Linked DNA regions of Nothobranchius furzeri. The protein of the gene in region 2 interacts with the protein of the main gene of each other region in a biochemical or structural test. Links are inferred from orthologs where the notes say so. Each region holds a gene or a part of one and is shown on either strand. Other genes may lie near its edges.

Region 1 (3,958 bases), on a different chromosome or scaffold from region 2:
GTTTGTCTAGACTTCTAGGCCGCTGGATGCTTGTAAAATATGAGAAGATAATTTAAATATTGCTCTTTTTTAGGATCAATTATGCTGCTATTGTGATTATTTAGGGCTGAAGTGGAACTAAAACCTTTATCAACGTCACGTCTCTAGCTTAGAATTGATTTTTGGAAGATGCATTAACTCATTCACTGCTATTGACGACTAAAGTCGTCATTTGCATTTTTTTACTGTTTGAGCATCGGAACGAGCCCCCGCGCTGAGAGAACAAACATCTCAGCCCTGAAGCCGTTCTTCATCCACATGCGTCACACGTCACGTGATCAGGAAGCAGAACATCCATGTATTAGGAGATCGTTTTGGGCCGTTCCTGTAAAAAAAGTGAGGCGCGAACCGGAAAAGCGTCTGCCGATCACAAGTCGACAACGGATTATGAAAGAACGGATAACGCTCGAAACACACGGCTTCTTCCTGATGTAAGAGGTGAGTCTCCTCTTAGTTTTGGCATCGACATCATCCTAGCGCGCAACGTTCCGTGACTCTTAAAAACACAGTAAAAACGGTGAGAAACGCTGGCATCGAAGGCTACTAGCGATCAGGAAACGGCTGGCAGTGAATGAGTTAACAGTAAAGCTAATCTGCGCATAATCCAAGTGTCCTGGTTAAGTGAAAAGTGAGGTCAACAGCTGATAAATTACTGCTAATGTAAAAAAAAAAAAGGTCTGAATTATCACAGGATTGCTCCAATAAATAAATAAATACAGGAGTACTGGCAGCGTTTGACGCGTTAGGACACCAGAGGCCACGTTGGTACGTCTCTGGAAAAGCAATCTGCATAAACGCAATCACCAAATGAAGCGTTCCGCCAAATCCAAGAGGCCCAGCTGCAAAGTTAGGCCCATTTTTCCTTCTAAGAGTCAAGAGCCGTTTGAAATTACAGAGGAGCGATGGGACATGATGGGTAGAGTGCCTGGAATGAACTCTGGGAGGGTGAAGCGAGGGAACAAGTCCTTCTCACCTTCAGAAGAAAAACATCTACAGGCAAGTCTGTACTCTCACGTGTCAACAAAGCTGAGACGAGCTGACTCAATGGGACATTTTTGTTTCTTTTACCCAACAATCTGAGCATGAGACTGTGGTTTCACAGTTTCTAAGCTCTAAATTCGCTTCGAGGCCGAATCAGACGTCACCCAAAACCACAGATAACCACGTAGCGCTATTCGTAAACCAAAGATAAGCCAGGAAGGAGCCCTGAGAGAACATCAAAATCACAATCTTTAACATTTTCTTCGTCTGAATAAAAATAACGCAGGTTGGTAAACTTTTCCACCTCGTTTCTTGAGGGAGTTCAGCTTGTTTGTAGCCTTAAATCAAATTCCTGGGTGAGTAGGGAGGCAGCTGCCACTAAACAATTGCAAAAAAAATAGCAACAACAAAAGTCAGAGTTTTGGAAAAACAAATCTTCTTGCATAGTCCTGTCCTGATGTAGACTTTAAAAAATAAGGATCGTGAAAAAATGTTCTGCATGAAGAAAGGGCAATTTTCTTTCAACTCTAAACAAGGGAAGCACCCTTAGTCCTAACCAAGGATGTGACTAATACCTGGAGAAGCTTCAGAGATGTGTTTGTCATGATAAAGTTGAGAATTTGCTTTCCGGCGGTGAGTGGACGAGTGGCTCTGAACCAAGGACGGATCAGTGCATGAAGCGTTACATAACAAGCTAACAACGCCGCCACAAACCGCCTTCTGTGTCCAAATACCCCCCCCCCCCCCCCCCCCCCAAGCCCTCAGAAAGCTGAGAGGAGGCGGTCAAGACCCTGGCCACCTAATTCCTGGAAGCTGGTGTGTTGTTGAGCTACCCTGCGGGATAATCAACAGAAAAAAAAACAACCACAAGCAGAAAAAAACTGACTTTATATTAAATGTCACCGTTTAAAAATAACTGATACGTATTTGTTTGAGCTAAACCACACCTGATATTCAAGTACCTTTTTTTTAAATTGTACTGCAATTAAAATCTACAAAGTAAACAGACACTTTAAAAACACGCCTATCGTTTCCGCTCCGGGACTTTTCTACAAAACAGGTAAACAAAACTGTTTCTGTGTTTAAAAAGAACGAAAGCATGGAATTAGAAAGACACATCAAGAACACACCTAAGATGTTCCGGGACTTTTCTTTTTTATATATATAACGGAAGCAACTTCAAAAAGTCCCTTCTATGCTAAAACACGTGCTATCAGGCTTATCTAATATTGTCATAAATTGTGAAAAGGACTGTTTAATGTCCCTTAAACTTTGTAAAACTATTTTGGAAATAAATTGTTTAAAAAAACACATCTTTTCAAACGTGTAAGGCCGTGCCGGCTAATGTTAGCTTAGCCAATGCGGAAGTAGTTTGTCACATATCAAAACAAAAGACTTAAGCTATTTGTTAAACATAAAAAACGACTAGAGTAATTAGGTAGAGGGTTTTGGAGAGTATTTATGTGTAAATAAAATAAGTTGGAGTTAAACAACTAAAGCGCAAATATTTTTTTATGTTTCTAAAACAAGGCCCGTTTTGGTTCAAGCAGAAGGCCGAGTAATCCACCACTGTTTTGATCCCTGCTCTTCGGGATTTACTCACCACTTGGTATCGGCTTGCTGGGTCCATCCCGACTAGATTCAGCCGGCAAACAAGCCAGGCCAGAAAACAAAAATACGAGCCTGACTTGTGAATGCACTCGGAGTTCTCAGTCACGGAAAGATTTGATTCCACAAAGGAGGAGAAACACGGCGACAGAAATGGCTGCTGACCCGATGAGCTCGCTGAGGAAAATAGACAAGCCAACGTTGAGCAACAGTCAACCAGGCTGGGAGGGGGGGGGGGGGGGGGGGGGGGGGGGGGGCGCTTCCGATCTGACATTTCAAAGTAAAACACTTTCCCAACGTTTTCCGTTAAATGCAACAAAACACACGGGGTAAAGAATGCTTAAGAATATATCAAAGTGCATTAAAATTAACACATTTATGGTGACATAAACAAAATAAAAAGCTGCACAGAGCCACTTGCACTTCGTGGTTGGAGTAAAAAAACAAGATTGCTACAATTTTTAACAAATACTAAAGTCAGCGATTATGATATGCTACAATATGATATGATAGAATAGAATGGAATAGAATAGAATAGAATAGAATAGTAGTCACTATGCCCTAAAGCACAATGGGTGTTCACTGAGGCATCATATTCTATTTAAGCAAGACAAATAAACCCTGTTTTAAAAAGGCAAATAATGTCATTGAAAATATTATTTAGGTTTTTTTTTTTTTTTTTTTACATTTCATGATCACTTCAAAATAATTATTTTTAATGTTTGTTTCTTGTCACTTTGGGAACGCCGTTTTTGTTCTGTCTGAGCATCTTGCTCCTTCCACGCACACCCCATTGGTTAGCTGCCATGCAATCTTTAAACACGCTATATAAATAAAAATAGAATGGTATAGTATGGTATTTTGATTAATAAAAATATTCGAGATAACTAATCCCTGGGGTTTCACAACTGACACCCCTGCACCCACCTGGGTACCATTGGTGTGTTAAAAATCTCATGATTCCGCATTTTTAGCTTTGCATTAATCCATGATGTTATAATTTCTTGAATTCTAATTGACTATATTTTATTAGATTGATAAATCACAATAATCCTTTATTTTACTAGATTTACTTAAACTTGATTTGAATTTTATTGGGGGTTTTTTCTGTAAAGCACTGTGATCATTGTGCTTGTTGGCTATACAAATGAAACTCAGCTTAATTAATATATTTTAAAACGTAACAATTTTACAAAAGCAGTACTCAACTGTGAATTACCAAATTTGTTCTATAGCATTACACATTATTATGAAAATGGGATTGCTTTATCCTGAAAAATTTTAATGGACATACTTCATTGTTATTATTATTATTGTTGTTGTTGTTGTT
Region 2 (4,248 bases):
CCTGCAAATAAATTTTCACAGGTGATGCCAATACCTATGCGACTTCAAGGGATGTGCTCCTGGCTGCAAAGCATTGCACCTTCGAATACAAGATTTTGTCTTGGCTTGTGAGTGTTTATGGATGTGTAGACAAATAAACTTGTTGATATGATATGTAGATACATATGTAGATACATAAACTTGTTTATATTCAGTACAAGTTACATTTTTTTTCTGCTTCCGTTAGTTGAAAAATATGAGAAAAACCCCTTGAGAAAATAATCGTGAATTCAATCACAATTGCAGTATTGAAGAAAACATCGCAATTAAGATTGTTTTCCAAAATCGTTCAGCCCTAGTAAAAGGATATGAAAACAAACCTTTGCAGATTTAAAAAGTCTTAAGTGGACCCTCTTTGACAACCTGCTAAACGCAGGAAGAGACTGACAGCTGATATTTCACAAACATTGCTTGGTGGGGGGACCCACAGGGATGGTAGCACGCCACCCGTTTACTTGGAAACGAGCACACACACACACACACACATGTACGCAGATAGCCGACATGACTGTGCACCACTCTAGTATCATGCTGTTAAATTTGAATCCACAGGTTTTGGGCAGTGCTACAGACCAGCAGACTATCCGGAGTCAGGGGGAATATTTCAGAGGCACCTTATTTATATCGGCATGGGGCACTGCGCTTCCCAACTCTATAAATAGCCATGGTAAATACTTAACCTGATCACTTATAGTGCTAACAGAATAATAAAAGTGGAAAACTCTACTGAAATTGTGTTTTCACACTGATGAATGCTGGTATTCACAAGATGGAGAACCTGTCTTTCTAATTTACACATTTCTTGGTATCCAATATGCAGATGGATTTACTGTAATGTAACTGAACACCTCTGAATGTTTGTCCACACACAGCTTGTTAAATACATGACTTAAAGTTAAAGGGCTTCTCAGTTACTAGAAGTCTTGTAACCAGTCTAATGCTAAAGTCAAAGCAAAAACAGTTTAAGACTTTAGGGTGACATTATTCCAGTGTACTGGAACTTAGAAATTTTCATTGATGAAAACAACCAATCAGTTAAAAGCTGCAAGTTTACAACAAACAATTAATCAAGCGGTGTTTATTTATACTACTCATTAGAAACTCTCGATATGTCTGAACATTGATGCAGGAGAGGCTGAACCAATGACGGAGTGGAATCTACTCAAACTTGTTTGACAACAGTGGCAGCAGGTCTAGAGTGCTGACAAAAGGCTACTAGGTGATCAATATAAAGCCTCTAAAGAGTTAGAAATGTCATACTCACCTTGTCATTTTGAACTGAACCCTTTACTGCATTACTTTCTTTGTGATTCTTAACATCTGTAACAGAGCTTCGCAACCTTCCGGGGTAGCATGGGGATAAATGAATGTGCACATGTGGGGAGCGAGGGCTGCAGAGCTCGGGGTTAGAAACGTGGCATGAAATTCCAGTGTTAGGGTAGGGCACCTCGAGGGAAAAGCTCCTCTGTATGGCACGATGCTTTTCACCAAGCCCGATTTGATCTTTTCCAGACAAACCGCTTTTATCGTTTTTCTCTGATGGCTTGGATGAAGAAAACAAACAAGCAGAGGTACTGCGATACAGTTTTCTGTGATTGATGTTTTCCCTTTGAGATAGGTGAACTTGGTGGTGAGCTTCGTTGGCTGCAACCATTTCCACAACTCCCTTGGTAGATACTGTTGGTTTCTGGTGGGCAAAATGCAGCAGCACGCTGCTAGAGTGAAGATTAGGTCTGTCTGAGGCTGACGGAAGCTCCATCAACGCGCTATTGCCTTCTGATTTGCATTTTGTTCCATCCTGTAGAGGAATATTAAAGTGGACCATGTGTTTCATGTCCCTAAGTTCAGATGAGCAGCTTCGTTTTGATGTTTGGTGTCCACTTGCTACAGTGGAGCTCGCCCCTACTTTCTCTTGGGAGAAATCACTGAAAGACGTCTGAAGATGTGACTGATTAGTACCCTTTGGCAGTGGGTAAGCAAACGGAGTCACAGCACATCCTGGGGAAGCAGGTGGAGTGCTACATGGGCTCTTCGGAATAATAATCAGTGAGGAGCATCGTCGCAGCGGGACCTTGGACTTGCGACAAAGCAGAGTCCTCTCCTGGATTGTCCTGTGCTTTTCTGGAAGCTCTGGCTCAAAGATGCTGCTGCTGCTACAGTACCCCGCATCGCTGGCCATGCTGCTGTTGCATGAACCTCCGTCAGAGCCGGTACCTGCTCCAACTTCACAAGCCCCTGGTTCTCCATCTTCTAAACTGCAATCCAGTTTTCCACCGAGTTTCCCACAGGGCTGCAGCGCAATTTGCAAAACGCTCTTCTTATTACACCCTCCAGCGTGAACCCTGGGTATGAACACTGAAGAGCACTGACTGCTGGCAACGTCTGGTGACAGAGGAGTCACCTTCAAGTGAACAGAGCTGTGCGCCAGATTCTCCGCTGGGCCATGAGCCGACAGACTGACTCCACTCTCTTCACCTTGGCTGCTGAGGCTTTCCGACAGGGGGTCCGTGTTGCTTCTCCTTGACGCAAAATGCAAACGGAGCTGATGTGACATTTGTTCAACTCACTAATCCCTGTAGGGCTGGCGAGACGTACATGATCAAACTTGCTGGTGGAAAAAAAAAACGAGAGCAAACGCAACAGCTCCATGCGCTGTGATCACAATCATTAGTAGCTGCGCATTGCCAAAATAGCTCTGGTGACAAGCTACATTCCTCTCCAGGCTGATCTCAGCTTTTAGTCAGAGCAGGCCAGTGGTTCTGTTTGGAGACATGACCCAAACACATGACCTTTCAAACCGAACCATTAGCCCCTTTAAAATTCCTCGGCCCAATAAAGAAGAACAAAGCTACTCTAAAGATAATTGGAAAACCTTTTCCTCAGCTTTGCATTCTAATAAAAGCCTAGCGTAACTCGACTGTGCCTCCAAAAAAAAAAACAGACAAATTAGCATTTTTCTTCTGAAAATAAAGAAAAACAAACAAAAGCATGACAGTCCAACGTGCTGCATTTTAGACTGAAGCTCTGGTAAAGTGTCACATCTGCGTTGGCCCATTCGCTCAGGACTCCTGCTGCTGCTATGCTACTAATGTTTCTGCTGCTCTGTGCCCCACAAATAGTTTTACCCATTGCTATTGAATTACAGGAAATCAAACGAGTGAATGTCAACAAAATTCTGCATCAAACCAAGGAGCAGGTTGCAAAAGCACATTTCAGACAGTAAATCACAGAGCTCATTAGGATAACACAAGAGCTCCTTTTAGTGTTTTAGCAGTGACTTTAAATATTTCCTGCAGGGAACAGGACAGCTGCTGCCTAATGAGAAAAACGTGAGGTTTTAAGAAAAAATAAATGTCATGAAACTGGTTATCTGATGCCTCATGTAACAGTCAATGCTGCTCTTATTACTTCTCCATAGATGTTGACAGTTTAATTTATTAACAGTGAGGCTGCCTGACCTATTTCAGGGCATTACTTTGCTTCCAAAGTATAATAATGGAAGTCACGGCCGGGATAAGGACATGACTCACTGCAGGACGCTGTGGAACTCCTAACCTATTTTTTAAACCAACAGAACCGTGTGACAGTAATGCAATGGCCATACAATATCAAATGCTTATATAGAATGACGTCATGCGGCAATAATACAGAGACACGTCCCTTAAGAACTCCATGAGTTTGGTATCAAAGTGAACAAAAACAAAGGCGGTATTTAATCAACTTTTCAGAGAACCAGTCTGCTGTGTAGTCACTACAAGCTGAGTCAGAGAGGTGTGGTTCGAGTAAAGACTGGAAAAATCAATCAGCAGGTGCAGCAGGTGGATGAACTAGTTTCTTAAGCTGTGTTTATTTACTTTTAGGTATTTAACCAACCTCTCAGTCACTGTGTAACAGTTACTGTTTGTATGCAGCATCTAATCTGGAATATGCTACATCGATGGTTTAGTTCTTGAATGTTTTTAAAACAGTTCAAGTTTTTAATCCTCTACAGTACAGACTATTTTGAACAATTTAGGGGAAAATTCTACTAATTTAATAATAAACAACAGGTTAAAAGAGTGAGAAGGCAATTTGTAAAAGTCCAGTTTGTACATCAATGTTCTCAGTTTGGTTCCATTTCCGAGTGGCTGAAGGAGCTGCTTGATCTGTGTTGATCTTTGTTCTACAGCAAATCTTTTCCTTATTACTACTATGTAAAGATTTTTAGTA

What was found. The genes of interacting proteins can lie anywhere in the genome.
Region 1: the proteins of nedd4a (region 2) and ndfip2 form a complex in vitro, tested with the Homo sapiens proteins (3 studies listed by BioGRID, with this or other methods). The link is inferred for Nothobranchius furzeri from reciprocal best matches to the Homo sapiens genes NEDD4 and NDFIP2.

The regions. Positions count from the first base shown.
Region 1 is NC_091754.1:54,373,735-54,377,692, forward strand, and holds the start of ndfip2 (NEDD4 family-interacting protein 2), read right to left. Parts: upstream 2,801-3,958; 5' UTR 2,651-2,800; coding exon 2,624-2,650; intron 1-2,623. UniProt on the Homo sapiens protein: Activates HECT domain-containing E3 ubiquitin-protein ligases, including ITCH, NEDD4, NEDD4L, SMURF2, WWP1 and WWP2, and consequently modulates the stability of their targets. As a result, may control many cellular processes.
Region 2 is NC_091749.1:60,023,890-60,028,137, reverse strand, and holds the start of nedd4a (E3 ubiquitin-protein ligase NEDD4), read right to left. Parts: upstream 2,801-4,248; 5' UTR 2,594-2,800; coding exon 1,304-2,593; intron 1-1,303. UniProt on the Homo sapiens protein: E3 ubiquitin-protein ligase which accepts ubiquitin from an E2 ubiquitin-conjugating enzyme in the form of a thioester and then directly transfers the ubiquitin to targeted substrates. Specifically ubiquitinates 'Lys-63' in target proteins.